Linked DNA regions of Alligator mississippiensis. The protein of the gene in region 2 interacts with the protein of the main gene of each other region in a biochemical or structural test. Links are inferred from orthologs where the notes say so. Each region holds a gene or a part of one and is shown on either strand. Other genes may lie near its edges. The genes, in order: PDZK1, ABCC4, MPP1 and ERBIN.

Region 1 (7,656 bases), about 99 Mb from region 2:
TTCTAATTATAACTTTGATGACAACCCAAGTTTGTTAAAATTGGTTCACCAAGTAATTAGAAACAGCACAATGTTAGGGATGCCATTTCCTTTATCTCATGAACCTGAAGTTGTGTGGGTTGTCTGAGTAATTTGTTATTTAACTCACAGCTATGTTTGGGTTATTTATGTATCAGCCATCCGTGGGCTCACCAGATTTAAAATGAACCTTGAGCATAACCCATTCAAGCATCTAGTTTAAAATGTACTTTTTGGCATCTCCTTACAAGCAAATAAACTAAAATAACTTTCTCCAAGCAACAGCTTGAATTGGAATCAAATAAGCTATTGAACAATATGTGTACAAAAGGAGAAAAAAATATATTTCTTCAACTTATTACAAAGATGACATTTTAATCCTTGGAGGCCCTTACAAAACTGAATCATGGTGCCATACCAGAAAAAAAAATATCTAAAGAATACACAAATAAGAAAAATCACCAGAAATCAGGGATTTTGGAAAAAAGAAACATTTCACCTGGGCAAGAAAACTGAAAACATTAATCCTCTTTGGGGACTGAGGTCCTGAAGCATACTGTGGGTACCTGGAAAGCACTACTGGTTCTTCTTCCTCTTGCCTGGAAAATGTGGGAAGTTACTAGAAAGGAGATGAAGAGACAGAACTGGCGAAGCAGAGCTGGAAAAGGCTCCCAAGCAGGAAAACAAACCAGATGCTTTGTACAGAAGGGGAAGTGACTGAGCTGTCTTCCCTGACAAGAAGAGACCAGGTGTATCTGCAAGGCTGGGGACAGACATCCAAAATGCCAGAGCCTGAATTAATTCAACCCTTGCAGGTTAATCTAACCTGCCCAGGTTGAACCAGTTTGTAACAGGATAGACATTCCCAGTGGACTGAGGAACTGAGGGCACATGCCTGCAGTTGCTCAGGCCAGGCGCCAGGAGGTGGTAGAGCACATTCTCGACTGCAGGGAAGCTATGCTGCGGGGCCATGGCCAGCCTGGGCTGAACTGGCCAGAGAGGGATTTCATTCCCCATTCCCTGTCCCACCAGCAGGGCCCTGATCCAGGTCTGCTAGGCACTCCCTCATTGCTGCTGCAGCAGCAGGGCACAATGGCCCCTGAGACAGATGGGGCCAGGAAGTGGGGTTAGTCTCCCCTCTAACTAAAGTGGCAGCCAGATCTGCCTGCGGTCAGTGCTGCGCTCCCTTTCTGAGGCGGAACAAGCCCCCTGCTGTCCCCTCCACTGGACACCGGAGGGAGGGGGACTAACCCCCCTCCCTACCTGCCCCCCTTCAAGGGGCCCTGCCAGCCAACTTCTGGCCATACCCCCATCCCACGACTGCAGTGGAAGGGGGCAGGGCCCTTGATGGGGGCAGCAGCCCCTGTCATAATGTCAGGGAGTGCAAGCCCTTCCAGGCAGGGGCACTGCACTATGGCGTGGGCAGAGCTGCAGCAGGCTGCATGTGGCAGCACCAGGGTCCGGAAGGGGCCAGAGCCCCCTAAGCCCCCACAGCGCTGCCATTGCCATGGTCCACAGCAGCTTTCCTTGCCCTACAGTGTGGCCCCCCTGCTGGGAAGGCAGCCCACTGCAGCTCTGCCCACCCCGCAGTGCAGAGCCCCCACTGGGAAGGGGCTCATCAGTGGTGACATGTAGGGGGTGCACAGGGGTGCACGTGCACCCCCTGAGAGCACTGGTGCAGCCCCTGACCAGCCATGCTTGCTGCTTAGGTGACAGGCAGGGGAAGCAGGCAGGAATGCTGGTGCCCCCCCACGAGCGCTGGCAGGGGAGTGGGAGCACCATGGCTCACTGACCCCCACCCTCCCAGTCAGTGAGATTGGCTGCAAGAGGACGTCCCCCCGCTCAGTCCCCCCGCTGACTGGTCACTGGGGTGCCATGTGCCCCCCCCCGGACTAAGGTGGTACCAGTTGCCCATGAGGCTCACACTGACATGACAGGGGCTGCTGCCCGCATTAAGGGCTCTGCCCACTCCCACTGCAGCGGCAGGGAGGGGGCAGGGCTAGACACCGGCCAGCAGGGTCCCTTGGTGGGGTGGGCAGGGACAGAGGTTATTCCCCCTCCCTCTCGCATTCAGCTGAGGGGACAGCCGGGGACTTATTCTGCCACAGGGAGTGAGCATGGCACCAATGGTGGGAAAACCTGGCTGCCATTGAGGATAGAGGGGAAACTAACCCCACTTCCTGCCCCACTCTGCCTCAGGGCCATGGTGCAGCAGCAGTGAGGTGGGAGCTCCTGGCAGACCTGTTGGTAGGACAGAGAGGGGGGAATTAAACCATTCTCTGGCCAGACCCCTACCCCTGCCCTGGCTGGGAAGCAGTGGGGTCAGCCCTGCTAGCCTGGAGCAGAGAAGGCAGCCCAGAGAGCATGCTGGGATGCTGGGGGACTCTGGTTTAAGTTAAACCAGGAAGGGGTCTGAGACAGACATTGCATAAACTGGTTTGAGCCAAATCAGTTAAGTCTACATTCAACCACGTTTATCTCAAACTGATTTCGGCCATTTTGAAACTGGTTAACGTCCACTGAATGCCTGTTCTGTTACAGATTTAAGCCAGTTTCTGAGCATTTAAACTGGTTTATGTGTACTGTCTCTAGCCCAAGTCGGAAAGGATAAATCATGAACTGCCTACCTGGCTAAATAGAGATGGGCACTTCAGCCTTCAGCGTTAGCTAGACTGAGCTGTATTGCATAGGGGAATCTGCTTGTTTTTCTAATGATCTGTAATCTTTTGTGCTTCATTGTGTCTATTAACAAGCCAGGATGTGTTTCTGCACAGTTTCTAAGCCTATCTCTATGTTTGTCTGCTTCCCCATTTGAACAATGGGGGCAGCAATAATTACAATTTCTCATTGGGATGGAAGTGCTATAGAAGTGCCAAAGGTTATTTTACTCACAGTCTTCTGCACCACCTTACTGTATGCTTAGTAAAACCTAGGATTGGCACCAAGATCCTAAAATCAAACAAAAATTTCTTCCCTTGAGAGACCCTGCAAATATGATACTGTAACCTTAGCTCAGTTAGGCACTACAGCATACAGTTGAATTGGCAGAGTTATAGTTTATCCCTGCTATAAATCTGGAATGATGGCTTGTAAACAGATAACTCCTTAGGTAGCACAGATAAGCTTTACAGAGTTTGCTCCGAGCTTGCATCTGATTCCAGCAGGAGTTCCTAAGTGGAGAAAACACATGCTTATTTTAAAGTAGTTACTCCCCAAATGTTAATAATGTGACAAAGAGAACACAGCTGCAATGCAGTAACATAGCTGAGTGATACATAGGGGGAGGTTGAGTTATGGGGTGGGTTGCAAAAACAGCAGCCCAGCCAACGCTGCTGCTGGCAGCATTGCCACTAATGCTGACCCACAAGCCACCCCTGCCCAGGGTGCAGAAATGCCCACACTCACCTCTGCTGCAACAGAAATAAGCATGAGATGGAGCATAACAGGCCTTAAGTGACCACAAACCCAGCTCCCCGGGGGCGTATGATTACATGAGCTGTGCTTTTTAAGGGTCTAGACATCAGATGTGCAACAGTGCTTAAGAACATGCCCTAAATGACTCAGAAATCAGAAAAGCAAACGATAAAAGTCCTGCTTTATGATTTTTTAAGTCAATTTCATGATTTGGGGGCCAATCTCATCATTTCTGAGCACATGGGGTAGGCCATGCTGAACATTAAAAGCTTTCAGACACAGTGGAGGGCCTCTCACGCAGACCACACTGACAAGTGCTCTGAGCCACGTAGAGGTCCTTTCTCCAATGCTTGCAGCTGCTGACTCATTCTCTCCAAAGAACTTTACCCTTATTGCATTGGCCTATTACACAAGAACCCCCACCCAGTCTCTTGCCTGCCTTTGAGACCGACTGCTGTCCAGTCACAAAGGGTATTCACAACCCCATTCCCAGGTATGGAATTTTCCTTCTGGGAAAAGGGTATCCCAAGCCCCCCTCTCAGGTGCCAGGCTCTTCTCCATGGATTCTGACCCTTCTGGAATCTACCTACAAACATTGGCCCTCTCTTCTGACTTCGCTGGAACATCTACATAGGCTTAAATTACTGTTCTTAAAGCAATTACTAGTCTGTAACACATCTCCAGTACCCACGAAGCTGATGGAGCCTGCTCATGGAGGGAATATCAAATGAAGCTGCATTATGACAACACCACATTACCTCAACTGTTGTGCAGTCCCCGGGGGCTTCATAATAAAGTGACTGGCAGTCAGAGGACTTGGATCCTATTCCCAGCTCTACCATTGACCTTGATCAGGCTTTCTATTGTCCTCCTGCTGAAAGCACTTTGCTGGGCCTCTTGCTTCCTTCCCACCCTTTGTCTTCCTTCTATGTTAAATTGTAGGTCTCTGGGGCAGGCACTATGACTATGTTTTTTCCTGCAGTGCCTAATACTGTGGGGCTACAGTCTTCGTTAGGACATTTAGGTGCTGCAGTAATACAAATAACATTGATTTCTAGCCACAATCTGCCTTGCAAACTCACTTAGAGTGCCTATGCAAGGTCTAGATAAGTTTGCTATATATAGCACATATACGTATATATCTGCATTCACCCATCAGTCAGGTTGACATTTCCCTGATCCTTATTTTCATTGTCTCTCTGGGAAAGCTCAAAGATCAGGCTTGTCTTGGACCCACTCCTGGAGAAACCCGAGTTTGCTGGTGTAATAATCAGTGGAACATGGAGTGGAATTCAAAGCTGCTGAGAGGGGAGAAGCACTTTGTAGCTCAGCAGGCTGGCCCAAGGCAGGTTATCAAGTAGATAACCTATGCAGTGAAACTCAGTTAAATAAATCATCTTTTAAATCAACCTTTGCTCTACCAAAGTCCAGCTGTGCCTACAGTTACAACCACCAGGAGAGACTGCTGCAGAGCATTCCTGAGGATAGAGCTCTTACACAGGTAGGAATTTCCTTTTCTTCTTCACTGCTCACTATCCTCCAAATCTCCTTCTTGTTACAAAGCAGATTCCACCATGTACCATGCATGTAAGGCTTCCCTGCACTGAGAATGGCATTTCTATTTGTCTTTGGAATTTTCCTTCCCCTCCACCTGATTGTGTAAGCTTTGTCTACATTGGGGTTTTTCTTTGATTTCAAGCACCAATGCTCATTCCTAGTGTTCAGCGGACAGACTGCTATGACCTTCAATTTTAATCAATGTAGCCCACTGGTTTCAGGAGTAAGCTCCACTGAAATAGGTAAATTGTGTGTTTCTACATAACAGAGGATGTTGCTCTTTACAGTTGATGGGCTAAAGAGCAGAGCAGAACCTCTGTCAAGATGAACTCTCTGAATAGACCCTGAGGAAAAAGCTAAAAAGAATAGAGGGAATGGGTGCAGCAGTACTTCCTTCAGTCTTAACATCCCCTGTGGTGTAAGCGTTATAGACTGGAGGCATTGTAGAATATTAAGTTACTCTTTCTCTCTTGACAGTGGGGGAGCACCAAGCTACCAAGCTTCCTTTATCCTTCTAAACTTCTTCTGAAGTGTCTGTGCTTCAGATACTTTTGACAGCCTAGCTGACCCACACACACCCTTCTACCAACAGGGGAGGGGAAGGGACTGTAATAATCTTGGTGTGTATTTACACATGCATGCATGCATGTCTATGTATGTGGGTGCATGGGTGTAGGAATCCAATTTCTGGGGGATATCAATCATATAGTTAAAAATTTGGAGTGGTGAGTCCACAGCCAGAACTTGTCTGGTGCTGGACTTTGCGGGATACTTCCCTCAACGTATCTGTGATTCTTAGAAATATTGGGGGGGGGGGGGGGGGGTTTGAAAGAGCTGTCGTTAGCACCACAATTTCCCAAGGCCAGACCATCTGTACAACATAGTAATCTAATCGTGCTCCAGAGTCAAACTCCCTTTGCCTCTGATGAAATTCTCTATGCTCAGAAGTTCATGGGCTCTGTGGACATGGGTTGTTTTCTGCTAGTGGTCACAGAGTATATTCAAAGGCAAACATGTGATCAAGAGCCTGAAGTGAACTGTGTGCCAGATCCTCATAGTAAGTGTTCCTGTGTACATCAGCCACAAGATAAAGAGTGAAAGGCAGTGATTATGAAAGTTTTACAATGGGTGATTAGATGGCCTTTATCGGCCTAGGCTGTGATTAATGTATAATCTCTCCAACACAGCTTTCCGTGGTCATCTCACAGATTCCTGCTAGTAAAGAGAGGATGAAGAAAGTCCATTTTTGCTGAAGCCCGATAGATTATCGACTCATTATTGCCTGAACTTCCAGAGAGCCTACATTGTCCAAATTAGCCACCACTTCATCCCATGGACATATTTATCAATGTGGTTCTTTGGCAGGATTGCTTGAGACGCCTTCCCTAGAGAAGCAGCTTTCTCTGCTTGCTTTCTGTACCTTAAACCTGCCTTTTCATGACATAACTCTCTAAAATAGCCAGGCACCCAAAGAGATAGTGTACTATTCAGCCTAGTAGTGGTATTCATAGCCAAGTATGCAAAAGAACTAGCTGTCCCTGCCACATGGCTACATCAACAAGCTAAAGAAACATTCCAGACAGACACTATTACCTTCCAAAGAGGTAATTTAGGATTAGCATATTTATTTGCCTGTTTCTGCTAAAATATTCAGCAATGAACTAGCTGGAATCTGAGGATTCCATAAGTCGTCTCATGCATAAAATATTCTGATTCAGTAGGTAGGATAGTGGTCTTGAACATCCAAATTACTAGTAGACCCCTCAGTCTTGCTCCATAAGCAGCAGAAAGGGAAATGAAAAATCATCAAGTCCTTTTTTGGCCAAGTAAGCGTATCATTTGTGGAGACAATGCTTGGGTATGGAGAACCAGACATTGAACTTGGCCAGAGAAAGGTGCTTTGTAAATAGGTGCCAATTGTTGGCATTGGATTTATGACCCAGATATCTTAATCTGAGTGGACCCAAACCCTCATACCAACCAGGACTTCCTTTTATCCAATAATTGACAAATTTTATTGATACACAATGATAGTATACAAGAATAATACAGGCAAGGCAAACAAAATACACACCTCTCCTACCTCCCAATTCTAGATCTACCAGTCCTAGGGTTGTCACAGAGGGGAGGTACGTCTGGCCAGCACGCAAGCTTGACCCTGTGGTTTTCTTGGATGTCAGCAGCCTGGAGACCCACTCCCACCCATTCCCCCCACACTGAGGTGGGTGAGATGGGCTGGTGATATGCCCCCTGTCCATGGTAGCCTCATAATCCCACCTCAGGAACCCTTTGCTGCTCTTTTTGTATTCCTTCCTTTTGTAGTCTCTCTCTCCTCTGCTGACTCTCCATTTCTGGGCATCATTGATTGGTCTCCCTGTGGTCATCGTACTGTCCACATTCTGTTCTGTCAGCATATTCCTTTGTTCCAACAAACCCATCAAATGCACGCATCTTAATTTGATCATTTACCAGCATCTTAATTTGGACATGCCCCGGATGCCTCAAAACCAGAAATCACAAGGTCTCTGCAGCTAGTCACTGTGACCTGGCTCCAACATGGCAAACCTATCTTTTGTTATGGATTAGAGTGGTACATGTTTTCAATTTCCCAGCCTGTTTGTCTGCTGGCTTCAAATATGGTGGGCCTTGAAGCAAAAGTTGTCACAA
Region 2 (8,105 bases):
GAACCCCCTTGATTTCACTGGGATTCTTTAGCTGCACATGAATAGCTTATCTATCAATCCACACCACACTGCATCCTCAAGACTAGGATTCTCAAGTTTTAAGTGAGCACTTTAAAAATGACTATTTTTTATAGTCAGGTTAAAAATGATTGAATTCCTTCCCCTCCACAGCAGCATGTGCAGAGGATTGAGAAAAGTCTCTACATCCACAGCAAAAGGAACCCGTGACTTTTCAACATTCTCCACCTGCCTGAAAGAACAAGTGAGGCTACTACTCATCATAAGGTCCACAGTACTGGGACATCAAGGGTTTACAAAGGAAAATGAGAGCAACCAAGGAATAACTATGCAAATGTTGCATACTTCTTAATGCAGAGCGTAGGAATTCCCTAGAGGGGTGCCATTCCTGACAGGACTCACTACAAAACACAACAGTTGGCACATTTCTCTGCTTCCTCTCTCTTCTTCTCTGTGCACTGTAGTTCTGGTATCTGAGATACATGCTTTACTTTCTTTGGATTAATTCACAAACTTATAATTTTTTTCCCCCTAAGAATAATGATTAAGAACTGAGCTGTTAAAAAAAAAAAAAAATCACACTTCTTAAAGTACTCATTCAACACGGCCTTTAGGCTTTCCATATTCCCCAGCTCTAACAAAATAGTGTATTAGTGGTGTTGCAAACACTAGCTTTATTTTTGTAATACAGGTCAGCAATGAAATCCACTTTACAGCTGTATGCATATAGTGTAACCACTCAGGGAGAGCTGAAAATGCAAAACACCAACAAGGTCAGTCCTGCAAACAGGTGCACACAAGCTACAGAGAGCTTAGCACTTGCTCTAATGTGCTGGGCAGCTGGCCCATATGGTCTCATTTCAGTGGAGCAGAAACAGCCCAGGAAGGGGCTAGAGAGAAAGGCAGGATAGATTTGCACCTCACAGACTAACCAAAATAGAGGTGGTCTGATTAGTCTATAAGGTGCAGATCTACCCTGCCTTCTATTTAACTTCAGACTAACACAGCTAACAACACCTCTGTGCTAAAGGGCTAGAGAGGGCAAGGAAAAAGAGTGTGCTGCAGTCTCTTCCATCCAAGGAAAACCTAAAAAAATCCTGGCTTTAGCATCTTGAGACGCAAACACAGCAGCCTGGTGAGCGCCCAGCAGAGGGAACTCTACCAGGGCTATCTGGGATGTTTTGTTTTTGTACCTCCTAAAACTTAGGACCTCTGAACACATACCCTAAATAAGGGAAAATCTGCTTGGTCACTTGCTTTTTGTCTTTCTGGAGGAAGGGATGGTCCCTCTCCACCTTCCAGAAAGGATTCTTGCACCTACTCAGATCTGGTTGTACTGTCAAGATGGTTAATTCAAACACCATCTGGGTTTCCAAAGTGTTCAAACAAAGAGGTTTCTGGCATGCTGCCCAGCCCCTGCAAAGTCTTCACACTGCATATCTGGCCAAGGGACGAATAAAGCTGGGATCCAGATGCACAGAGTGGGAGAAGACAAGTGGGTGGGATCCTCTTCACCTCCCTCTCCAAAAAGTCTAGGGAAAACAAGAAGCAAACTCTCTCCCTGCTGTGGGCAACCACTGTAGAAAGCAGGGATGAGCCATGGGTGATGCCACCTCTGTACAGAGCATGGAGTTTTAGCCCTGTTAATCTGAAGTCAAGTGGACAGCAGAGTAGATTTGCACCTTATAGACTAACCAAAGGTTAGCAAAGCATCTGCTTTCTCTTTAACTGGATAAATATGTGCTGTGTTATACGTGATGACGTACCACACTATATGCCCAGCTCCCTTTTCAAAATCCTAGATCTGTCTATGCAGAGTAGATCTACAGCTATATCACCAGAGCAATATCTACCTTAAAGCAGATCTATAGCTATAGAGCGACAGACAGAGCGAGTGATAAAGTGAGCACTACAATATGACAGTGAGCTACAGTGATATAGTGATAGATATAATTGATAGAGTGAATGATAGTTATAGTTATAGAGCAAACGATACAATATGATAGAGAGTGAGTGACAGAGCAAGACAGTGATATAGTGATTGAGTGACGGAACAAGTGATAGAGTAAGTGATACAATATGATTGAGAGCAAAAGAGGAGTAGACAGTGATACAATGATAGAGCAACACAGTGAGAGAGCAATACAATAGAGCAACAGAGCGAGTGACAGTAACAGTAATAGAGCAACTAATACGAGATGATAGTAAGAGCGAGCGATAAACCAAGACAGTGATATGGTGATAGATACGAGTGACAGAGCAAGCGATACGATGTGATAAAGAGAGAGTGAGCAATAGACAGTGATACGGTGACAGAGACAAGTGATAGAGCAAATGATAGCAATAGACCAAGCGATACAATATGAGTGAGCGGGAGCAAGACAGTGATAAGGTGATAGATACGAGTGACAGAGCAAGCAAGGCGATGTGATAAAGAGCGAGCGAGCAATAGGGCACCACAGTGACAGAGTGAGTGATGGTAACGGTGACAGATGCAGCAGGAGAGTGATAGAAAGAAACAGCTCTGGAGGGATAGGACAGAGCGAGTGCGAATGAGAGAGATGCCAGATACGGCAGAGGCACGGCTGGACACACGGGTGCGGGCAGAGGGAGAGCGCGCCCGACCACAGGCTTTCCCGACCTGAAGCTCCCTCCAGCCGCGGCTGCGAGAGGAGGCGCAGGGAGAGGCCGAGGAGGAGGAGAGGAGCCCGGCTCCCCGCGGGCCGCACTCACCAGAAGAAGAGCCGCGAGCAGAGGTTGGCGCCCTGCAGCGGGTTGGGGTTCTCCGCGCGGGGCAGCGCCTCCATGCCGCCGCCAGCCCCGGGGCACGGGCACTGGCACGGGCACCCGCCGCTTCCGGGGCCGCCCCGGGCCCTGCCTCTGCGGCACAGAGCGGCGGCGGGAACCGGGAGCCGGGCCGGGCCGGGCCGGGGCGGAGCCGCCCCAGAGGAGAGGGCTGCCCGGACCCGCTCCCGCTCCCTGCCTTCAAAGCCTGGCGCGGAAACAGCCCAGGTGCGGGTGCCCTGCTCCCCTCCAAAGTCCCTTCCTTCACGGCCCTGAGCGACAGGCTCCGGCGCGGCCCTGCCCCTGCCCGGCAGGGAAAGAGCAGGTTGCAGCCCACCTCAGAGCGCCCAAACCCTTCTTGAATGGCATGTAGGGACACAGCTACACGCACACACCGCGCATGTCGACACGTGCATTTACCGGGCTTTTATGGAGAGGGTTGGGTTTAGACCCGCAGGCATTACAGCGCAGTAAGTTTGTGTCTGGATGGACTTGGGTACACAAATAGGGATACTGTGCAGTAAGGCATCTATGTCCTTAGACCAACACGGCTACAACCTAAACCCCTGTCACTGTGCAGGAAACACTCAGGTGGGAATTTGCTACCTGCCTCATGCAGGTAGCAAATTTCCACCCAAATCGGTGCATGTCACTAGAGTTACTGCACAGTGTGCGGACTGCGCAGTGATTTTTGGCCACTGAGAGGTAACTTAAGTTACTGCCAAGTAACGGTGCATGTGGAGACATGCTCATTTAGACACATGCTCACACACTTAAACATACGCTCAAACACACACGGCCCACTCTCACTGGAATCTAGCACTCGCTGAAAACAGGCAAATCATGGTTACCCCGAGATCAAATGTGGCCAACCTTTTATTCAGGGGTGGATCTAGGATTTCCCAAAGAGAGGTGTGGGGGTGACTGTACCCCTACCTCCCTGCTTCCTTCCCCACCCGTGCAAACAGACTGTCCTCAACAGCCCGCAGGGACTTTAGGTCTCTAAAGCAGGTGACAAGTCCCACCTCCTTTCCCTTCCCTCCCCATTCCACAGCTGCCATTGTTGCTTTCCCAGATGTTTTGGGGGCTGGGAGAGCACCAGAGCTGTTCCTCCTCACCCAGCCAGGCTGGCCTCATCTGGGGAGGGGACAGGGGCAACACCAGGGTGGGAGAGTAGTTCCTCTCTCTGTCCTCCATCCCCTGGGAGCAGGCAGACTGAAGGGGATTCCCCTCAACCCATCCCCACTGCTGCCGTCCCCAGCTGAGATCAGCCCACATGCAGCCTGGCTACACCAGACAGGAGCGGCTCTGGTGCTTCCCCCACCCCTGGGACAGTGAGAAAGCAGAGAAAGTGGGGAAAAGCAGGGGAGGAAGGTTTTCACTTCTTTTTAAAGAGTTAAAAAGTCCCCCAAAGCTCCCCTGGTACAGTGCAATCCAAAAGAGGGGGTATAACTACCCCATTACAGCTTCTCTGGATATGCGCGTGCAGTTTTTAATACAAAAGTTAAAGCTGGGACTCAGTGGCAACATGGAGGGGGTGCATGAGGGTGCACATCCACCCCCTGAGAGCGCTTATGCACCCCCTGCCAGCCAGCGTTCCCCACTTAAGCAATGGACGGGGGGCAGGTGGGAGCGCTGGTGCTCCCCCTGAAAGCGCTGGCTGGGGAGTAGGGGCACCAGGAGAAGCGTCGTTGGCACTTCTGGGTCAGTGTGATCAGCTGCAGGGGGACCCATCTGACTCAGAAGGCACCGGTCGCTCATGCCAGAACTTCAGAAAAAACCTGTAGAAGGTCTTTATACCACTCAGAGGGGGGAAAAAAATTTTAAAAGAGTGAAAAGACATTAAGGTGGAGATCTTAATATAAGCACCATTACCTTCCTGGGATAAAATAGTAAAGTTGGGCTGCCTGTGAATTAGGATTCTTTCTTTGGATAAGGCAGCAAAATTAAGTCTATAATCCTTGGTTAATTTTAGTCATACCGTAATGACTGCTTTGTTGTTATAACACAGAGAGAATTTTTTTTTCCCCCAAGGACATTGGCTTTGGAGAAAAGAATAAATAATTTACTTCCTGGATTAGTGTCTTAAGTCCTCTCTCTCTCTGCATTCCACCCCCATTATTATGAATGACACTGATACTGTAAATGATACCAACTAGGGCTCCAGCCTTGTAAACATTTACACACATTTAAGTATTTCCAATAACTTAATTTCCAAAACCAAATGCTCTTAAAAGATAATTGGATGGAGAGAGGAAAGCAAAGCAGAAGGGGAAAAAAACAAAATCATATTAAACAGAAAATATTTTTTTAAAAGCCAGTAGGCTAGATAAATTTGTAGGAGTAGCTGTTACAGAGCTGTCTACCATTGGGAAAATGCCACTACCTGGCAAGAACCCAGAAATAGAACATTGCATCATTATAAAAGGTAATAAAACACAAAACAAGCCATGGAATTTTGTCCTCTGAAAATTTAAGGCTACATACAAAAGAAAATGGGAAAATGAAAAGTGAACAAATTCATAGGAAATAATATAAAGACAGGAGGGACAAAACCACTAGCTTGACACTTGCACTTAGTCATATATGGAGTTCTGTGCTTATTGATACACAGATACATATACACACACACACACACACACACACACACACACAGAGCCATTTCTAGAAAGTACAACTTTATTAATAATTACATACAGCTACCTTGAAAGAACATTAAGGTTGTATGATCAAGCACTCATGATTAGGAAATGCCTAAGAAAAGGCAACACAATTCAACCTCTTATACATATGCATTATGTTACAGCCTTCAATTACATTTAAAAAAAACAACACAAACAGATTTCCTTTCTCATTTGGTGTACAGGAAAACTGGTCATCACTGAATGGGCAGCTGTTCAATATTCATTTTATCCTCATTTCTCAATATATGGCAATATGCCTTATTTACTGCTCTATTCATACCTTGGTCTGAATATAGAATTACTAACTTCCCTGTGAGCATTTCTGTGTATTTATCACTACTGTACCCAGTGCTTTACAAACATTTTTCACCCTACATCTCCCAATAGTGTGGTATGACCTCCAATTTCTGGATGGGAAACTGAAGCAAAGCGTTATTAAAATCATTGGAAGGGACCTCAAAAATCATCTAGTCCAACTGCCTGCACAGATGCAAGCTGTCTATTCCTAAACTATCCCTAACAAATGCTTATCTGGCCTATTCTTTAAAAATTAAAAAAAAAAACTTCCAATGAAGGAGATGTAAATTAAAAATTTCCAAAGAAATAAAAAATGTCTACTCAGTTAGGTACATCTAGAACCTACTTTTCCAGGATATTCAACACAATGATGCATTTTCAAAGTGCAACTCCCATTGAAATCTGTTGAAGCTATGAGCATTCAGAACTTCTGCAAATCAGCTCCCAGGGGCCCAAGATGAGTATTAGGAAATGGGGGGGGTGTCACAAAATGAGTAACCAGGAACAAAAATTTGGTTTAAGTGATTTGCCTAGCATTACATAGCAACTGTCTGGCAAAGGAAGCATAGAAAGCAGTTTAGAGTGGTTGAAAGCTTTCCAAGGGAACAATTGTCCATAGGAAAATGATGATTTGATGGAATCAAAAGATTCCGATGAACATGTTTCTGTCAAAGCTTTTGTTCAAAACAAGACAGAAAAGCAGACAGGCAAGTAGGCTGCTGGGCTTACCAGCCAACTGACTTGCCTGGTTTCCTTTCATACTATAGGCAAAAACAGTCTGGTAGTCTACTGGCTTACAACCCACCTGTTCAGTTTGTGTCCAATTTGTTATCCCGTTTTCTGATTTATTGACTAGAAAGTGTTTCCTCATGTGGGGACAAAGAACCGGAACTGTTTTTAAATTGAACTAGATAAGTTATCAAAAGCATAATATTATGGGAAAAGAAGTTGTTGGGTCAACTATTACCTTGTATTATATGCATAGACAAAGCTAGGATTTTGAAAAGGGAGGTGCAGACAGTGTGGCACATCATCACATATACACAACACATTTTTATCTACTTAAAGGAAAACCAGATGCTTTGCTAATATGCTAGCACCATATTATGCATTTTAAGGTCAAAGCAAAAACCAATATAACTAGTTAAATGTGCACTAATTTGCTAGATTATCTATAAAGTTTAAAAAACACAATAAACTAGGCAAAATAGTCAAAATGATCAAAATATATTGTATCATTAAGTCCGGTAGTCATTATAATTAAATGTACATCTCTTATTCAGATTCATAAAGCAAAATCTACTCTTCTCGAGTGTCTTGATAGTACCGCCAATACTTCCTGTTAGCCATTTCTACACCTGAGTTAAGGTTTTTCCTAGAACTAAAAACAGTCTTCAGGCTACGAAATAGAAGAGACATTACCAGGAATGGCTAACAGACAACAAAATGGCAGAAGAAAGGATAGTTTGAACAGTAGGTTAGCAGGACCATTAAAAAGACAGAGGGTCATTATCACCCATGGAGTGGAGAGAGATTAGCAGGAATCAGGGAGATGATAATGAGCTATGAAGGTAGTTGGTTTTAAAGTTTGGGTGCAGCAAGAATCGAAGGGGAGTGCAGCTGCACCATTGCACCCCAGTGGCACCAACCCTGGTTATATATAGGGTCAAGTACATACAATCCCTATGTTGAGGTACAGGTCTAACTTTCTTAAAATGTGGTAGATGTCTGGTAATTCAATTCCTCAGGGCTTTTGTTTGCCTGCAGGAAGTAGGAAAGATAAAAGTCTACTACCTTCTGGGGTTTTTTGGAGGCTTCCTCTAAGCACTGGGATGTTGGCCATATTGACCACGTCCACATGACCGTGAACATTTGTTTCCCTTGGGACAAGTAGCAGCAGCACACCTTGTGCCACTGCTACTTGTTTCCAGTGAATACCCATGCCACATGCCCTGTGCTGGCTCCAGAAGCCTTACCTGGGGTCCTGGGCCATAGTACCACTGCAGCTGGGAGCCCAGCCAGCAGCTAGAGCATGGCTCTGGCCAGACAGGCTCTGGTTTTAGGCCTTGCTCACTGCTGCCACGGGATCTCCTGGGATCAAAAAACTCACCACGCTGCCAGGTAGCTGTGTGGGAAATGTCTGCATGTGTGGTGTTTGTCTTGCAAATGGGTCTGTGGCGCCACATACCACATGTCCACACTTATCTGGGCACGGCCATTTATGGCTGGAGGTTTTTGCCTGGGGTGTGCTAATGCTCCTGCTGGCACTTAGGAAACTCTGGGAAGGTCTTGCTCTGGGTCATAATAAATGCCAAGTCTGGA
Region 3 (7,911 bases), on a different chromosome or scaffold from region 2:
CTTTTGATTTCACCAGACCAAGTGCATGACCCCTGTGTCACTCTCAGCCCATGGCTGCTGTAATGATATCCTGATACTGAGCAGGAGAGACTGAGGGGAGATCCTCATCAGATGTTCATGATTTCACTGAAATCAGTCAAACAACAACAATCAGTACCCACTCTGCACAGCTAGAGGGATTTACTTTGATTTGTCCTAGATGTACCAATGGCACCTTCCATACACATTTCAGACATTTAAAGAGTTTTCATCATGGTGCCAGATCTAAACCACAAAAATATAAGCGACTCCAGAATACTGGCTAAAAAGTTGCTGTGTCAGCACACATGGTGTGGGGTAGTACTTCTTGCTGGTTTCTATTGCACAACAGGGTGGGTTAAGAACAAAAGTTTCAATCTTGACTCCTGCTTTCCGCCCGGTGCTTGTAGGTTTGAAAAAAAAAGCAGTATATTTATGTAATAGCCCAACCCTGGACGTGCATAGCCTGAATACTAAATGCTTTCATCACCTCCTGGACACTGCTGGAACAAGGGCTGGATCCCCAGGTGCTGTAAGTTGCTGCCAGCTGCATTAGAGAGCCCCAATTTGTACCAGCTGATGACATGGTCCCTTTCAGCAGTGGGGCACAATATAGATACTTTCCTGAATGAGTACCCTGCCCCTTGCTGCTGGATATGAAGCCTGCCACACAATAAGAACTCTCACTGAGGAAGGCAACAGCAATGCCCCATTTTCCTAGGGCTGAAAATCTGTTGTCACATCTCTGCTGGGCTGATCTGTGGACCTGCTTCCTGAGGTTGCTCAGTCGCTGAATCAGCTCATGTGACAGGCAGTTCCAGCTCAGACCAGCTACTACTTTGCAGCAAAACTAAGAAAGAGCTTCTCTTTAATTCGATTCTGAAACTCCCAGCTTGCTATCCCCTCCCTACCCAGACTGAGTTAGATAGCAAATCTTTTTTCCTTTCTGGTAGCTTCAAATTCCCCTCCATCTAGTGTGGACACTCATTTATGCATGGTACAGGGATGGCAATAGGTAAACAGAATAGGGACCATTTTAAAGGTGGTTACCAGACCTCTACCAACCCAGCTGGAAATGTGCCCTTACCCCAAAACAGTCCTTCTGGCAGGAGCTGAATTCAGTCCCCCTCTATGCCTAGTCAACACTGCTTCCCCCAACAGCCAGGGAGTGGTTCAGAGTAACTGGAAGGGACTTTGGGGGGAGTGGATCTCATCCAATCTCTTGCTGTTGCAGGCAACCATGCCATATGATCAGTCTTGTAAACTATCAAGAGTCACTTCAGATGTATACCGGCATGAAAAGTAGGGTTGCCATCCCTGCCAGCTCAGGAGATGGGGCGGGGGAGGGCAAGGCAGGAGAATGAACAGGTCTCTCACGCACCAGTACCCTGGGTGTTACTAAGAGTAGCCATAACCCTGCCCCTGTCAGCAAAGGCAGCTGTAGCCATCTGGTGACCTTATGGAAAACTTCAATATACTGAGGAAGCTGTCTGAGAAGGGAAAGATGGGGCAAATCAGAATCATGACTGGCAGGGAAAACACCATGTATCTGGGTCCACAAGGCAGTTTTTCTTAAGCACCTGGGAGATAACTGCTCTTCTGGCATGGTTCAGTACCCGCTGAGGTGTTGGGGCTTTAAGGCCACTTTATGGAATTGGGAAACTCCTCCCTAGCTTGCTCCTACAGCCATATGGCTGAGGGCAAGCGAAACACGAGGGCATCCAAACCCCAAGCCTCCAGGCGTGGGCCTGTACATAGGATGCCCACCAAAAGACATTGGAAACATCTGAAGCCCCTGGTAGGGGTGGAAGATGTTTGCCAGATGTAGGGCCACTTATGGTTCTGGACTGACTCATGGATTTGGACTTGATTTAGCTTGGAACACGAAAAAAAATTAAAAAAAAAGAAAAAAAAGACGAAGCATCAGCACGACACTTTCCAATAACAATATAGTGCCTTCCAGCCGAGGATCTCAAAGTGGAGAGGGGGCAATGTTCACTCCTTTGTCATACAAATAGAGAAACTGAGGCACAGACAGGTACAAAGATTTGTTTGAAAGCTTACAAAGAGACTAAGAAAAGACCGGGCCGTCCTAGCTCCCAGCCCTGTGCCTTTCCAAGTCAGCTTTGCCAGTGGCAGGGAAGAACAAAGATGGTAACCCATGACTGACTGCAACTGTACATTAAACTTCTTAGTGTCTTTGACTCTGTCCCAGTGAAGTTAGCAGCTAAGGCACCAGCCCAACACACAAACTAGGATGCTGCAGCTGAGGATCTACGGTAACGTCCCTTTTCCTGTGGGGCTTTTCTAGGCTGCCTGGTATGAAACCCAAATGCATTCATGCCATCAGTGAAGCAAGCCTATCATCAGTACCCCAAGGTGCTGTGAAAACCTGCCAGCCCAAGTGCCACAGCAGCATCCCAGGCAAAGCAAAAGGAATGGAAGCTCTTTCTCCTCACAGGGCTAGCAAGCGCCCAGCCTGGACCACGGGGGAGCTGTTGGCTTCCTCACCTAAGCGGGGCTGGCTGCTGCGGGGACCCTCGCCTGTCTGCACACCGGGCCCTCTGCCTGGGGAGACCTGTGAGGAGGCCACCCCACAACAGACCCCCCTTTCTCCCCTTTGGCAGCAGCAGCTCTGCTCTGGGGCTCTCCCTAACTCGGGCCGGGCTGGGGCTGCCCAGGGTGTTTGCTCTGGAGCGTCACCCACCAGGCTGGAGCGCCGGGATCTCTGGCGGCCCCCTTGGCCTGTCCCTGCCAGATGGGATGCCAGGGGGCCTGCCTCCCTCCCAGCTCGGGGAGGGGCCTGGAGGGGCCTGGAAACAACCGGCTGGCGGGGCTGAGCCCGCCGGCTCCGGCAGCGCCGAGCACCGACCCCGCGCGGTTCCTGCAGGGCAGGGAGGAAGCGGCCTGGCGCCCCGCGCCGCCCTACCTCGGGCTTGGGCCGGTGCTGCAGCAGGTGCTCCAGGTAGAGGTCGGACAGCGCCGTGCGCATGCTGCTCACGCTGTCGCTGCGGCTCCACTTCAGGGTCATGCTGAGCTCCGGCCGCCGCCTCGGGCCGGGCTGCACCGCGGGGACGAGCGGCCGGGCTGCCGCGGCAGAGCGCGGGGCAGAAAGGACGGAGCCGCGCTGCGGGCAGGCAGCTGGCCCGGCCCGGCCCGGCCCGCTCCGCCCCGGCCCGCCCCGCGGCAGGGGGAGGCGGGAGCGGGCGCCGCAGCCGAGCGCCCTGGAGCGCGGCGGCAGCGGGGGCGGCGCTGCGGTCGCTGCCGCTCTCGGGCCGGCTCGGCCGGCAGCTGGGGGCGCCCGAGACCTCCGCTCCCCGCCCGCGCTCCCCGAGGGCCGGGACGCGCACCAGTGCCCGCCTGCGCGCGGCGGCGGCGGCGGGGTCGGGCGCTCCCCAAGGAGCGGGGACCGCGGGGCCGCGGCAGGGCCAGGAAGGGACATATTTGTCCAGCAAACTGCACCGTGGGACCCCGGTTGAAAACGAGCCCATACAGGTGCCAACCCCCGTTGGACAGCAAGTCCCAAGCCTTCCCTAGTACGGATCCGCACCTCCCCCTGCACCCCAGCCGCCTCGGCCTGAAGTGGGGCAGGTTCTGACTGGCAAGAAGGGTGTCAGAAACGGTCCAGCTTCCCCCTGCACAGAGGATCAGCTGGGCAGTGGGCATGGGGTGGTACAGTGAGGGCAGTCTAGGAACCTGTCCAAAAACATTGCGTCCAGTTACCTTGTGGTGCAATCCAAACTCCCACCCTGAAACAGAGCCTGTCAACTGCCAGGAGGCCCTGGGCAGCAGGTGCCCTGCTCACACCTTCAGGAGGTGACCCCTGTGCCCACAGCCTCCCACTGCTTATCAGGTAACTGTGCAGCACTACCACTCCACCCACATCACCATCCTGACAGTCCTGATCAGCCCCAGGACTCACAGCAGCAGCCTCTTGAGATTCACATCCCTGAGGGTGAAATCCAAATACCACTGAAATCGGTGGGAATTTTGCTGTTAAATTCAATGAAACCAAGATTTCACTATATATTGAAATCCAGACCACATGGACAGTGATCAAAGATTGCCACCCTTGGACTTTGCTCAGAACATTCATTGTGAGAAGTGGATTGGTGACCTCAAGGCCAGTTTTAGCCAGTTTTGGTCTAAGCATTGGTCATACTTTGAAAGGAACTTGGAGGCAGGAAGCTCACTTCTCATTCACACAGTGGCCCATTTCCCTTGCAAGCAGTTGCTCCTCTTTTATCTTGCCCATGTTTCAAAACTCCTAATCAAACACAGATGCTAGTGCTTATGGACAAGGGGCACAAGGAGGGGTGATACCAACATAAGACACGTCCAACAAGGTACTGGGAAATAAGATTGCTACTTGGCTGAGAACATAGCAGTGGAACCCGAGGCTGGCAGAGCACGCCCGTCGTGGGACCGCTTGGAGCCTGGGGCCCCAGCAACGAGAGCGTCCTGCATGCCTGCAGTGTTTCCCACCGCTACACCAAGCTGATGTGCTGCCTCGTGGTGTCCAACATGATCTGCTGGTCCGCCACTGGACCAGACCCAGAGGGGACTGCCCGAACCCCTCTCTGCACCTGATGGACTTTGAGAGGAATCTTCAACAACGGACCACCCCGCTCCACCCAAAGAGGACCCCCGTGATGAGACTCTATGGACTGAGAAACTTTCTCCAACCTACTCTCTCCATCATTGTGGACCATTGTACAGGTTTGTGTTTATCTATCTTCTTTCTCTCTTAGCGTTGCGAACCCCCTCCCTCCCCTTCCCCCACAGCACAGAGGATCAATGCGCTTCTCGTACGCAGCCCCTGCGCACAGGCGGGGCACTGGTGCGCGTCCCTGCCCTCGGGGAGGCGCAGGGGGAGTACAGGCAGGGAGTGGAGCGGGGGAGCTCTCGGCTTAGTTGGCTAACATTGTATTTTCTGTAACCTAGTTGCATTCCCCTCCTCTCATCCCCATCTTTTTTATGTTAGTCCCTTGCTCAAGCACTCTGTATTTCCCTACTGGCTTTGTCATCTTTTTGGTTCATAACTGTTAACATCCACTAATAAAATTCAATCTTGCCTTAGACCAAAATGGGCAAAACCTCTCAGACAGCAGATTTGACATAAACAATAGATACACTTATCAGGAGCTCCTTTTTATTTCTGCCTGTCTGTGAAGCAGCTCATTTGAAGAGGTCAACGGTAAATTCCATCTACTGGATGGGCCAAACAGAGATGAAGGATGAAGTCATGCTGGACCATGTTAACTGCTGTGTCTTTGCTCTATAGACCATTGCAGATGGTCTGACTGCAGTTTTGAGTATGCTAAGCAAATCCCATGGGCTCTGCATTTCCCTTTTCCCCTTTTCCCCCAAATCCATAGGGCTGCCCATTGATCCCTAAAACATTCCTTGAAATTGTGATACTGATTAGATGTGATGTTCCAAACAAGCAACGACCATCAAGATGAGTGGTGGGTAGGTCTCACTTCACTCCACCAATAAAAAATCTACCAGTTTTAGCAATCCAAATTGTGGAGTAGGAGACCAAAACAGAGCAACCCACATGCTCTGTACCTTTCATATATAAAGGGGTTTAGAGCGTATATGGCTCTACTAGGAGTCAACTGCAAAAGTGAGACCCAAAGTCTGGATCAGAGAATCAGGCTTTTGGTGTGGCCAGGTTCAGAGATCAAAATGGCCCAGCTGAGAAACTTGGAGGCATTCAGTTTTGTTTCATTCCTATCCCTAGATGCATATTCAGCTCTTCATAAGCAGATGGGACCTTCATGCTTCTTGGTCTGTCACGTGTATCAGCTTGCACAATGCTGGCAGACATTTTACCAGATGGACTGGGTGTTAGACAGAGTCAGAAGACATTTGTCCTACTCTGGGATCTGTCACTGATGTCATGCAAGTCATTTCCCTCTCTGTCTCTCATTTTGCCCCCTCTCATTGTCTGTTTTGTCTATTCAGAAAGTGAAAGATAGTGACTGTCCTGAAAAGTTTACAGTGTTTGCCGTGTGTCTAGTACAACAGAAACTTGACCTTGGATGGAACTCCTAGTCCCTACTGTGACATAAATACTAGTGTAAGAAAGTCCCTCAGGTCAGTGTAGCACATAGGGACAGCCTCATACCACAACTTGGTAATGCTGCAAGGAAAGTTTTATCCCATTAAGATAAAAAATGAATCCTTTAGAAATAAATCCATTTAACATGAATGATTGATTCTGTTATAGACTTGTGTGAGGTTCTTTCTCAGTACAGAGTAATGCTTAGCAAGGAGTTTTCCTCTTTACATACCAGGAATCTGTCCCAAGTGGCTGAAACCAAATGTCAGTATGACATGCCTCTATTAAGTAATATTACATGGATATGGGTATTATTTGAAAGTATATGTATTGATAATGCTCCCAAAGGAAGAGCAGCTGCCAAGTCATTTCACTGGTTTAATTCAACACATACTGATAGCAAAACATCAGAAAGGGAAGGTCTAGGAGTTACTGAATGATAAATAATGTGATCTGGATGTTCAGTGTACATTTTCTTCATTCGTACAAAATCAGCAGAATGAGCAGAAAGAAAGAAACAGTGCTGGCCAACCTGATATGTATGAAAAACCAGGAACAGCTCACATGTACTGCTGGAACTTTTGAGGAACACTTCATTGGGCTGGGCCACAAACCCTGGAGAAGACAGACACACCTTGCAATTCCTTTGGTTTTCTCACTCCATGAGAACCCTGAAAAACAAAAGCAGGAGGCAGAATAACATGTCAGTAAATGGAAAATAGGGTGAGAACATGCTGGGGACCAAGAAAGGAAAAGAAAATGAAAATAAGACCCAACTTGCTGTAACTACAACTTTCTCTTGCTTGGTGGGATAAAGCTGCTTCTAGCTGCAACACTGAAAAAAACAAAGTACTGAGAAGTTTAGTTTGGGGATTTGGCAGAGAAGGCAAATTTGAGGTGCAATTCTCTCAGGAATACTGGACTATACTCTTTCATGAAGTTATCAAGGACACTTCCCTGAGAACAAAAATCACTCCTAAATACAGCAAAACTATTCCTGGAAGGACTGGGTGTGGTATAGCAGGTATCCAAAGCCTCAGTTCACACAAATAGATTTTTTCAAAGAAAGGAAATTAGTTTTTCCTCCCATCTCAGCAGAAACTTATACAGCGGGGAGTGATGGATACATCTACCACTGTCCAGTAAGAGGACCCTAGTCTTTTCTTTGGTAATGAGAACTATTGCTCTTTATGTAAAAATAAGCCATAAAATATATGCATTTAACTCAAAACCCAAATCTGAATATTCCCAACCTTTAAAAAAATTCACGTCTAAATTTTATGAACATTTTTTATTTGTAAGTTAATTACTTTTTACCACACCCAGAGGCTTAATGAAGTACTTCATAAACTGGGAAAACTTATTCTTGTATATATTTCTCTGAAGGACTACTTTGTTTTAAAAGCACAGGGCACATCACGAATCAAAACATACAGTGTTGATTCTACCTATAACATAGCAAACTGCACAAGAAAACATATCCTAAGGAAAAAGAGAAAGGTCACGGCAACTCAACATGATGACTGAAAGAAAAGTAATTGCTTAAATAGAAAGAGAAGAAAAAGAGAGTTTTGCCTATTGAGATTTCTTGGTTTAGCAGGATCATTGAGCACACAAGAGGCTATACTTACTGGATCTACAAGTGATAGCATAGGGAAAATTCCTCTGGCATGCCATTCCACAAAACTACTTTGTAGGAAAGGTTAAAGTAAAAGCATTATTTGTATCATCTAACACTACAGGTACATATCCCAACTATGCCATACCATACACCACCTGCTAAGTGATGCAGTCCACATGTGATGACCACCATCTTGGTCATGGCT
Region 4 (8,191 bases), on a different chromosome or scaffold from region 2:
AGAAAGATCTGCTGTACCTCTGTGTGTGTGGTATTTTCCAGTGAACGTTTTAATCAAGAACATCATCTGTAATCACCTACATTAAATTGCCTGCACAGCAAGCATGTTCCCACATGGATCCAATCTTTTATTTTCAGGTTAATAAAAGTAGTTTTATCTCCCAGTTATTTGGAAAAGTTAAACCAAAACTTCAGTAACCAAACCAGCTATCAAACCCACCAAAAGAAAATCAGGTGATTCCAGAAGTGATGGAAAAAAATCAACACTTGGTGTTCACACAAACTTTTCTCTTTTTCCCCTAGCAAAGAGAAAGCATTAATTATAAAAGAAAAAAGAAAAATATTTCATGAACAGCCCTAGGTAAAATGAAAAGGAAGAAATGTCTTCCTATTATTTCACTTTCAGAGGAAAGCAAGGAAAACTGTACCAAAATGCTGATGTCATAAATGTAAAGAAAAATATTTTCTTAGTAGCCATACCATGAATATAATCAAACTTAGCCAAGAATCTAGAAAGCATTAAATACATTCTCCATGTTTTGGTAGTATTGAGCTGATGTAGCTTTGATGAACCAGGAAAAATGTGGAAGGCAAAAATTTTTGTCCATGATATCTTTTATTGGATCAACTGTATAGCTGGGAAGGACATAGACAAGCTTTCAGGTACCACTGTACCCTTCCTCATGTCTTTTGAGGAAAGTAACCTGATAATCTCACTTATACCCTGTTTTTATTAAATGCATGGAATTTTGCACAAGCCTGTATTCTCTCTGCTATGCATCTTTTATTGGACCAACTGGAGCTATTACTCCAAAAGTCCTTGCCTCTTAAATATAACCTAAACTCAGGAAAAATTAGCACTGTTATTACTTTAAAGTTGAACATCCAACGACTTCCCCCCCACCCCCCATCACCACATTTTATAGCTTTTCCTCCCCAAAAGCTCCTAAAATCAACTCTGTATGAATTAGACTTAGAAACAAGATCCTACAAAGTTCACTTATGTGCCAAAAAAAAACTTAAGTAACTTAAGGCTGAGAATTGGAAGAGAGATCTCTTTACGATTGCTGTGTTAACCATGTTTTATATGCCTCTGACACAGTATTTTGGCACATTGGCAATTAAAAGTAAATAGGTGATCATGCACATGCAGAGAGAGCATAACTCAATTTGGGGGATTGGGAAAGCAGTACATTAAGTGAAAATATTTCAGTAACAAAGGAATATATAATTTTAAAGATTAAACAGTGAAAGTTATGGAGGGTGTGGTACATAAGCTACCCATACCAGAGACAATGTTTTATACTACATAACTAAACTGAACAAAACTGTCAATTAAAAAATATACTGCCATGTATTTTTTAAAACATTAAAAGACACTGCTGATTACCCAAAAGGATCAGCTTCCTGATTACAACTAACACTGTGGCAATGAAATGAATGGAATTCTATGACGTAGCTCTTAGCTGTAAGCAGTAGTGAATTCCACTTTCATCATTAAAGAAGGGCCTTATCATAGCTACCATGGTGACAAAACACTAGTGTAAAACGTTGCAGCCCCAACTATAAGGATCTATTCTCCTGCACATCATTGAAAAAATATGAAGTGTATCATCAGACAACCAAAAGGTCTGAAAAAAAACAAATTTCATCCACAAACACACTGATTTGCAACTACTTTTGTCATGCACTGCTACAGTTCCCCCCCTTAGAAACTAAAGTCATTATTGGGAATGAAGCACTGCTTTGGAAAGTGATCGTTCTTTGTAAAAGGATTACTCTATTTAGGCTTCAATGCTTTTCTGCCAAGCCTAAGCCATATAAGGAAGCTGAAGTTCACTGCCATCTATTTTGTTCCAGTCCTTTCAAGATGTTTATTGCTGCCTGCAAAGGTAAACCTGTAAGCTGTACACCGATCAGATGTTTATTACCGATATACCTGGTGTCTAAGATCAGCTGAAAGTTGTCATTTTTCTACTAAAAAAAAAGCTATCAAACCAGTCTGTCAGACGAACAAAACTTTCACACAAAACACAAAGCTGCCTCGTTATTTAACTGGTGCCTTGTCTACCTCTGACCGCACTCAGACCCAGGTGTAGGTAAGTTCACACAAAAAGGAAAGCTTAAGATGCCTTGCTGCAAAACTCAAAACTGACCCCCTCCCCCACCCAATCCTCAACACCACAAGCAGCCGGCACTGTACACCCTACCTCATCTCATCGCTCAAAACAAACCGCTGTCTGTCAGGTTCACCTCACAAGGGACAACGGCAATTCCCACTGGTTTCTACCAACGCAAACAAGCCACTCCACAGCCTTGGCTTCCCAGACCTTTAAAAAAAAAAGTTCACAGCTTCCTGCTTCCTGGACATCGTCTCTCTCTTCCCTGCTCAAGCAGCGCGGGGACCCCGGTATATCTAACATGTGGCAGCTGCTCCTTGAGCCCCCTTAAACCAGAGCAGGCCGGAGAGCGCATAGAAACTTGGCTCCGTAGCGGTGTGCCGGCTCCCCCACGGCGCACAGCAAGCAGCAGCCACGACACGGACGTAGCGGAGCCCCGGGGACGGCGCCCGCGGGCTTCCCCGAGCAGTGCCGCCGGCAGGCGGGCGGGCGGCCTCCACCTGGGCGCTAGGAGCTGGCGCAAGCCCAGGCTGGAAGTTGGCTCCGGTCCCCAGCCCCGCGCCCCGGCAGGGCCCGGCCGCCATCCGGAGCCGCCTACGCGGAACAAAGGAAGTTGAGCCCCGCGGGCCCCGGCCGCACAAAGGGCGGCATGAGGCGCCGCCGCCCGCCCCACGCGGCTCGCCCGCCCCTCGCCCCGCTCACCTCGGCCCGGGCCCGGCGCCGCTGCCGGGAAGCGCCACTGCCGCCGCCGAGCTTCCCCCACGGGCGAGCGGCCCCGCAGCACCAGCTCCTCCCCCGCGCTAGGCCGGTGCCGCGCCGCGCCGCGCCGCCCAGGCCCCTTATTGTCCTGCCGCCGCCGCCAGGGGCCCGGGGGCCAGCGCAGCCCCGCCCCGCCCCGCCCCGCCCCGTCTGCCCCTCCCTCGCCCGGCGGCGGCGGCGGCGGCGCTGGGAGCGCGGCTCGGGGCGTTCGCTGCCTCCGCCTCGCCGCACACGGCAGCGCCCGCACAGCGCCGCCCAGGCCGGGGGGGGCACTGCAGCAGCGGCGGCGGGAGGTGCCGTCTCGTCTCGCCTCGCCTCGCCTCGCTCCCACTGGCTGCCTGCGAGCGAGTGGCAGCGAGGTCCGCCAGTCCGCGCCCGGCCTGGCCGCCGACAGCCAATGGCTCCGCGCCGAGGGCCGGGCGTAGCCTGGCTGTGACGCGGAAGGAAGCCGGGGCGGTGCTGGGGAAGGGGCCCCGCGGGTTTCTCCCCTTGGGCGCGCGCGGGAGCTGCGGTGGGCGCCGCTCGCAGCCCTGGGCGGCAGGAGCCGAGTGGTTTCGGGGAAGCTGGCCTGGCGCGGGGAGGAGGCGGCGGCGGCTCTCCGGGCCACCAGCACAGGCCCTGCCGTGGGGCCTCTGCCCGGAAACGGCCTGCGAGTTGAGCTGGGCTGGGCTGGGCTGACGGTGCAGCCAGCAGAGACCTGAGGAAAAAGGGCTGGCATCGGGAAGCTTGTCTGCCTTTATTCCAACTACGTAGTTGGCCCAACAAGCCATCATCACCCTAAGGAGTTCTCACTTCTGTTGTGGCAGCCCCAGGGCGACACATAGCAGGTGCACGGGCACCCCTTGAGCATGGCAGGGCACCCTCTACGCTGTCCGCAGTGCCTGCAGGCGGGCACCACTCGCCACCCCGCCGCCCACACCACCGCCGGTGAGTGAGGGTGGTCGCCAAACCTTGGTGCTTGCCATCCTCCCCACCCTGCCAACAGTACCCGCGGCGTCTGCGGGATCTCCCTCGCTTACCACAGCTGCACTCCCGCTGCCACCGTGCCCTCCCAGCCAATGGGGGCATGCACTGCTTGTGGCAGGCAAGGTTCTTTGAGTAGGTGTGATATCTTTTATTAGACCAACTGAGTAGCTGGAAAAAAAAAAGTTTACAAGCTTTCAGGCACAGTCACCCTTCGTCTGACTGTGCCTGAAAGCACATAGGCACATAGGGAGTCTCTGCTGGTCTAAGACTCCAAGGAAATGAGAGAAGCTAAAAGTATGACAGGATGTCAGTGACAATGTACATGGGTGGAAATTAGGAAAACAAAAGGTAGGGAAGGGAAGAGAGGGGAAGAAAAAACAGGAGAAAGCCTGAAAGCTTGCATAGAACTTTTTTCCAACTACTCATTTGGTCTAACAAAAGATATTGCATTTACCCAAATAACCTTACCTGCCTATGTCTTTAGACCAACATGGCTACAACCAAAAACCCAGCTTGCTTCTGTTATAATTTATGGACCATCACTTCTACACTTTCACGAACTCTAATGTATCACCACACACAACTTAACAGGAACCGCAGTTCACGGTCACCTGGCTTCAGAACTCCTCTGCATGTTCGCACTCAACAACATGTTGCACCAACTGTTTGTTACCTTTTCTTTCCTTGAATGCTCCCCCTCCCCCCTGTAATTTAGCTGATTGACTGCTTTTGCCGAATCCTAAAGGAAGTCCTGGAGCCTGCAATTCTGTTGTGCTGCAAAGTGGACAGCACAGGCAACAGCAGGGCAGACTTCTACACGCTGCTCACCTTATGTTCCCTAATTGTGTTCTAGGGGGACCACCTGTAAGGACAGAGGGAGTTCAGTTTTCATGCCCATTTAATCTTTGGCATCTCTGCTGGGACTGCCTTCAACTCTGCCAATAATTTTCTCTTGTCAAAACCTGTTGACTAAGAATGGGACTAAACATCAACTTGTTTTTATAAGCCGCCTAACAGACATCAGGTAGTAATGACTTGTCACTATCAGCCTACATCTGAGTCCAGCAGCCAGCCTAAAGATGAAAAGCTCCCCAAACCATTTCTAACCGTGCGGGCCACCATTTGACTAATGTTTGAAGTGCTGGTGAGGGTAGTTTAGTTTACAATAGCAATGAAATGCAGTTGATCATATTTAAATAAATACACGTTTGTGCCATTCAGAGGTTTTATTAGAATGTTCTCATGTGTGAATGGGAATTGCCCATTTCACTGTCTAATGTCAGACATCTGGACATAGGAACTTGACATGCATGTATATCAGCACTATGCATTAACTTAGTTTAGCTCAACTTATTTCTCCTCTATTTCTCAACTAATCCCCTCTTCTCAATTTAATAAAGCATACATTCCTGACTTAGAGCTACATTTATGGCAAGCTTCAAAATTTAAACACAATCACTGGAACCAGAGTTGGAAAAAAAATCCTAATTTTTCTTCCTTGAAGTACAAAATCACCACTAATCTCTCATGTTCACATAAGCTATTTTCTTCAAATGACTCACATTTGGACAAAGACCAAGTATGAGAACCTTTAGTCCTTAAAGTTAAAAGTGCTTGAAAACAGAGGCATAGAATTAAAGTACTTTCTCATTTATCAATAGAGTCACTACAGTGATGCTACAATAGAATTGCTGAAGTTTCACCTTGCATGAACAACTGAGAGTTCCTTTCTGATAGCAACACTGTATCGCTATAATTAACGTTATTACAAGACTATACTTCTCTCTGGTGACCTACTTATTTTCATGAACAATTTGAGGCACCTACCTGGAGCATGAGCTTATCCTGCCTTTTGTTTATGGTGGGATGGTTGTGTGGCAATGTTTGCTGTAAATTACTTAACACATCTGCTAGTGGAGTGTAGGAGATTCACAGTGGCTGTCATTCCCATGCAAGATCTACTATTATTTCATTTATAGTTTCAGGGTAAGATTTAATTTTACTTGTGGTATGCACCATCCAAACCCAAACAATATAACCACAAATTTTAAAAAAAGTATCTTAGATCAGAGCTCCTCGAGACATTTTATACAGACAAGATTAAACTATTTACACAAATTACAAATATACCAAAAGTTATCCTAGGGATATAAAACGGCTATAAATATCAGAATAGTATTTAGATTACAGCTAAAGCACAGTCCACTGCAAAAATTAACTCCCAGACTTGGTATTCCAGTTACCACATAATTTACATGTTAAATATACAACATACAAACTCTAAAGTAATATAGCAAGATATCTTTAGATGGGGCCATGCACATAATTCTATGGAAGGTTGAAACAAATTCTTTAACTAGGTCTTAGGCAGACAAGGTTCCTTGGGTGAACCTTGTCTGCCTATGTCCTTAGACCAACACGGCTACAACCTACACCCCTGCAACCTGGAAGTTAACTAGGTCTTGATACTAGACACCACACCCAAAGTTTTCTGATTCTATATTTAAATAGCAAGATTAGCAAATATTGCAACAGCAAACTACATAACTGAAAGAAGCTGCCAAAACAGTCACATCTAACATGTATTTTTCTAAATTAAAAAACTCAAATGATTCAGAACAGTATACATATTGCTGCACCATGTAACCATATGTTCTTATTCCTTGTTGCTCTTTTATGCCTACTGTTTGTTACACTCATTTTCTGCATCTTTTCTTAACTTGCATTTGTATTCTAACTAGCATAATGGGCCCCTGATTCTAGCTGGTATTTCTGAATATCACTACAATACAAATACTAAATCGTAATTATGAATTAATATTAATAACTACAATTAAATGGACTAAATTAACTAACAGGTCGTGATGCTTGTTTCCAAGCTGGTTATGGACAGGACAGTAAAGCATCTAGCTCTTACAACTGTCCCTCCCACTGGTGGTACAGTCTTTCTAATCAAACAGTTTAAAAAATGGCGCTTTTAAAAATTATCTTTCTTAGGATTATGACTTAAGTTGCATTCCACTTTTTGACTAAAGTCTGCAAACACCTAACAAATCAAAACATTAAAACCATCAAATTGTACGAGGACAAATTTTAACCAGTTCTGTTCCAGAGAGATAAATCGTACTTTTGAAAGAGCCACCTGGCTACCATGTAGAAAATTGCTGCATTATAGAAGAAACACCCCCTCCATGAATTGCACACCACTGTTTATGACATACCATCCCTCCCTGGATCCTATATGGAAAATCCTCAAGCAGTACTAGAAGGAGACCCTATTTTTAAAGAGTTCTTTCCAGAACCACCTATCCTAGCTTTAAACAAGCACCGAACCTCGCCAACTTCATCACCAGAAGCAAACTTCCTATGACCCAAAACACACCAAATGGATCCAGACCATGCTATGACAAGAAATGTAAGACCTGTCAACACATCTCTACCACCCCCACAGTTCCTATACCCCACAACAGAACCATCAACGTTCCTGGATCTTACATCTGCATCTCCAGAATTGCAATACATCTCATCCAATGCACCGATTACCCTGATGGAAAATATGTTAGAGAAACCAAATAACAACGGTGTACCAGAATAAACACACACCGAAAATCTATCAAAGACAAGAATACCCAGTTACCTGTGGGAGCACCTCTCTCACAAGAAAACCAATCTCTCAGTTGTAATCCTCAAAAGGAATTTACAAACAACTTTTCACAGACGAACCTTTGAACTTCACTTTGTCAGTCTACTGGATACAAAACATAATGGAGTAAATATAGACATTGGATTTATGACACATTATAACCTGCCTAACATCTGACTCCCCAGATTACCTGGTAAAAAGTGGAGAGTTTTTCTCATTCTCTTCCCCCAACTCTGTATCCATTGACTACAGCTACATTCATTTCCTTCCCCCCCCACCATCTGTCTCACCTACTGACCACTTCAATTTACATTTTAACTGACTGACTTTCTTCCATACGTACTGGCCTCTGGCTGCTTTACTACTCCATCCAGGAAGAGCATAGACCATCTACAGATGCTTCCTCAGCCTGACGAAAGGTATTTGTACCCAGAAGTTTGCCAAGAAGAACTTTTTCAACTATTTGAGTTGGTCTAATAAAAGACATCGGATTTACCCAAAGAATCTTGTCTGTCTATGTCCTTAGACCAACACAGCTACAACCTACGCCCTTAAACATGTTCCCTATGCATCCAGAACATTAGTGTGAGTCTAAATTTTTCCCTCTACATACAAAGATGTAACAAACATTGAATACTGTTGCCTATACCATGTATGTGGTAAAATCCTGGGCTTCTTACTGTGTGGTTTATTTTCATAGTTTC

What was found.
Region 1: the proteins of ABCC4 (region 2) and PDZK1 form a complex in vitro, tested with the Homo sapiens proteins (2 studies listed by BioGRID and IntAct, with this or other methods). The link is inferred for Alligator mississippiensis from reciprocal best matches to the Homo sapiens genes ABCC4 and PDZK1.
Region 3: the proteins of ABCC4 (region 2) and MPP1 form a complex in vitro, tested with the Homo sapiens proteins (2 studies listed by BioGRID and IntAct, with this or other methods). The link is inferred for Alligator mississippiensis from reciprocal best matches to the Homo sapiens genes ABCC4 and MPP1.
Region 4: the proteins of ABCC4 (region 2) and ERBIN interact in a test that uses a peptide from one of them, tested with the Homo sapiens proteins (2 studies listed by BioGRID and IntAct). The link is inferred for Alligator mississippiensis from reciprocal best matches to the Homo sapiens genes ABCC4 and ERBIN.

The regions. Positions count from the first base shown.
Region 1 is NC_081824.1:268,601,647-268,609,302, reverse strand, and holds the start of PDZK1 (Na(+)/H(+) exchange regulatory cofactor NHE-RF3), read left to right. Parts: upstream 1-4,640; 5' UTR 4,641-4,933; intron 4,934-7,656. UniProt on the Homo sapiens protein: A scaffold protein that connects plasma membrane proteins and regulatory components, regulating their surface expression in epithelial cells apical domains.
Region 2 is NC_081824.1:367,956,546-367,964,650, reverse strand, and holds the start of ABCC4 (ATP-binding cassette sub-family C member 4), read right to left. Parts: upstream 3,139-8,105; 5' UTR 2,826-3,138; coding exon 2,752-2,825; intron 1-2,751. UniProt on the Homo sapiens protein: ATP-dependent transporter of the ATP-binding cassette (ABC) family that actively extrudes physiological compounds and xenobiotics from cells.
Region 3 is NC_081831.1:36,491,182-36,499,092, forward strand, and holds the start of MPP1 (55 kDa erythrocyte membrane protein), read right to left. Parts: upstream 3,151-7,911; 5' UTR 3,050-3,150; coding exon 2,948-3,049; intron 1-2,947. UniProt on the Homo sapiens protein: Essential regulator of neutrophil polarity. Regulates neutrophil polarization by regulating AKT1 phosphorylation through a mechanism that is independent of PIK3CG activity.
Region 4 is NC_081826.1:260,483,027-260,491,217, forward strand, and holds the start of ERBIN (erbin), read right to left. Parts: upstream 3,004-8,191; 5' UTR 2,822-3,003; intron 1-2,821. UniProt on the Homo sapiens protein: Acts as an adapter for the receptor ERBB2, in epithelia. By binding the unphosphorylated 'Tyr-1248' of receptor ERBB2, it may contribute to stabilize this unphosphorylated state.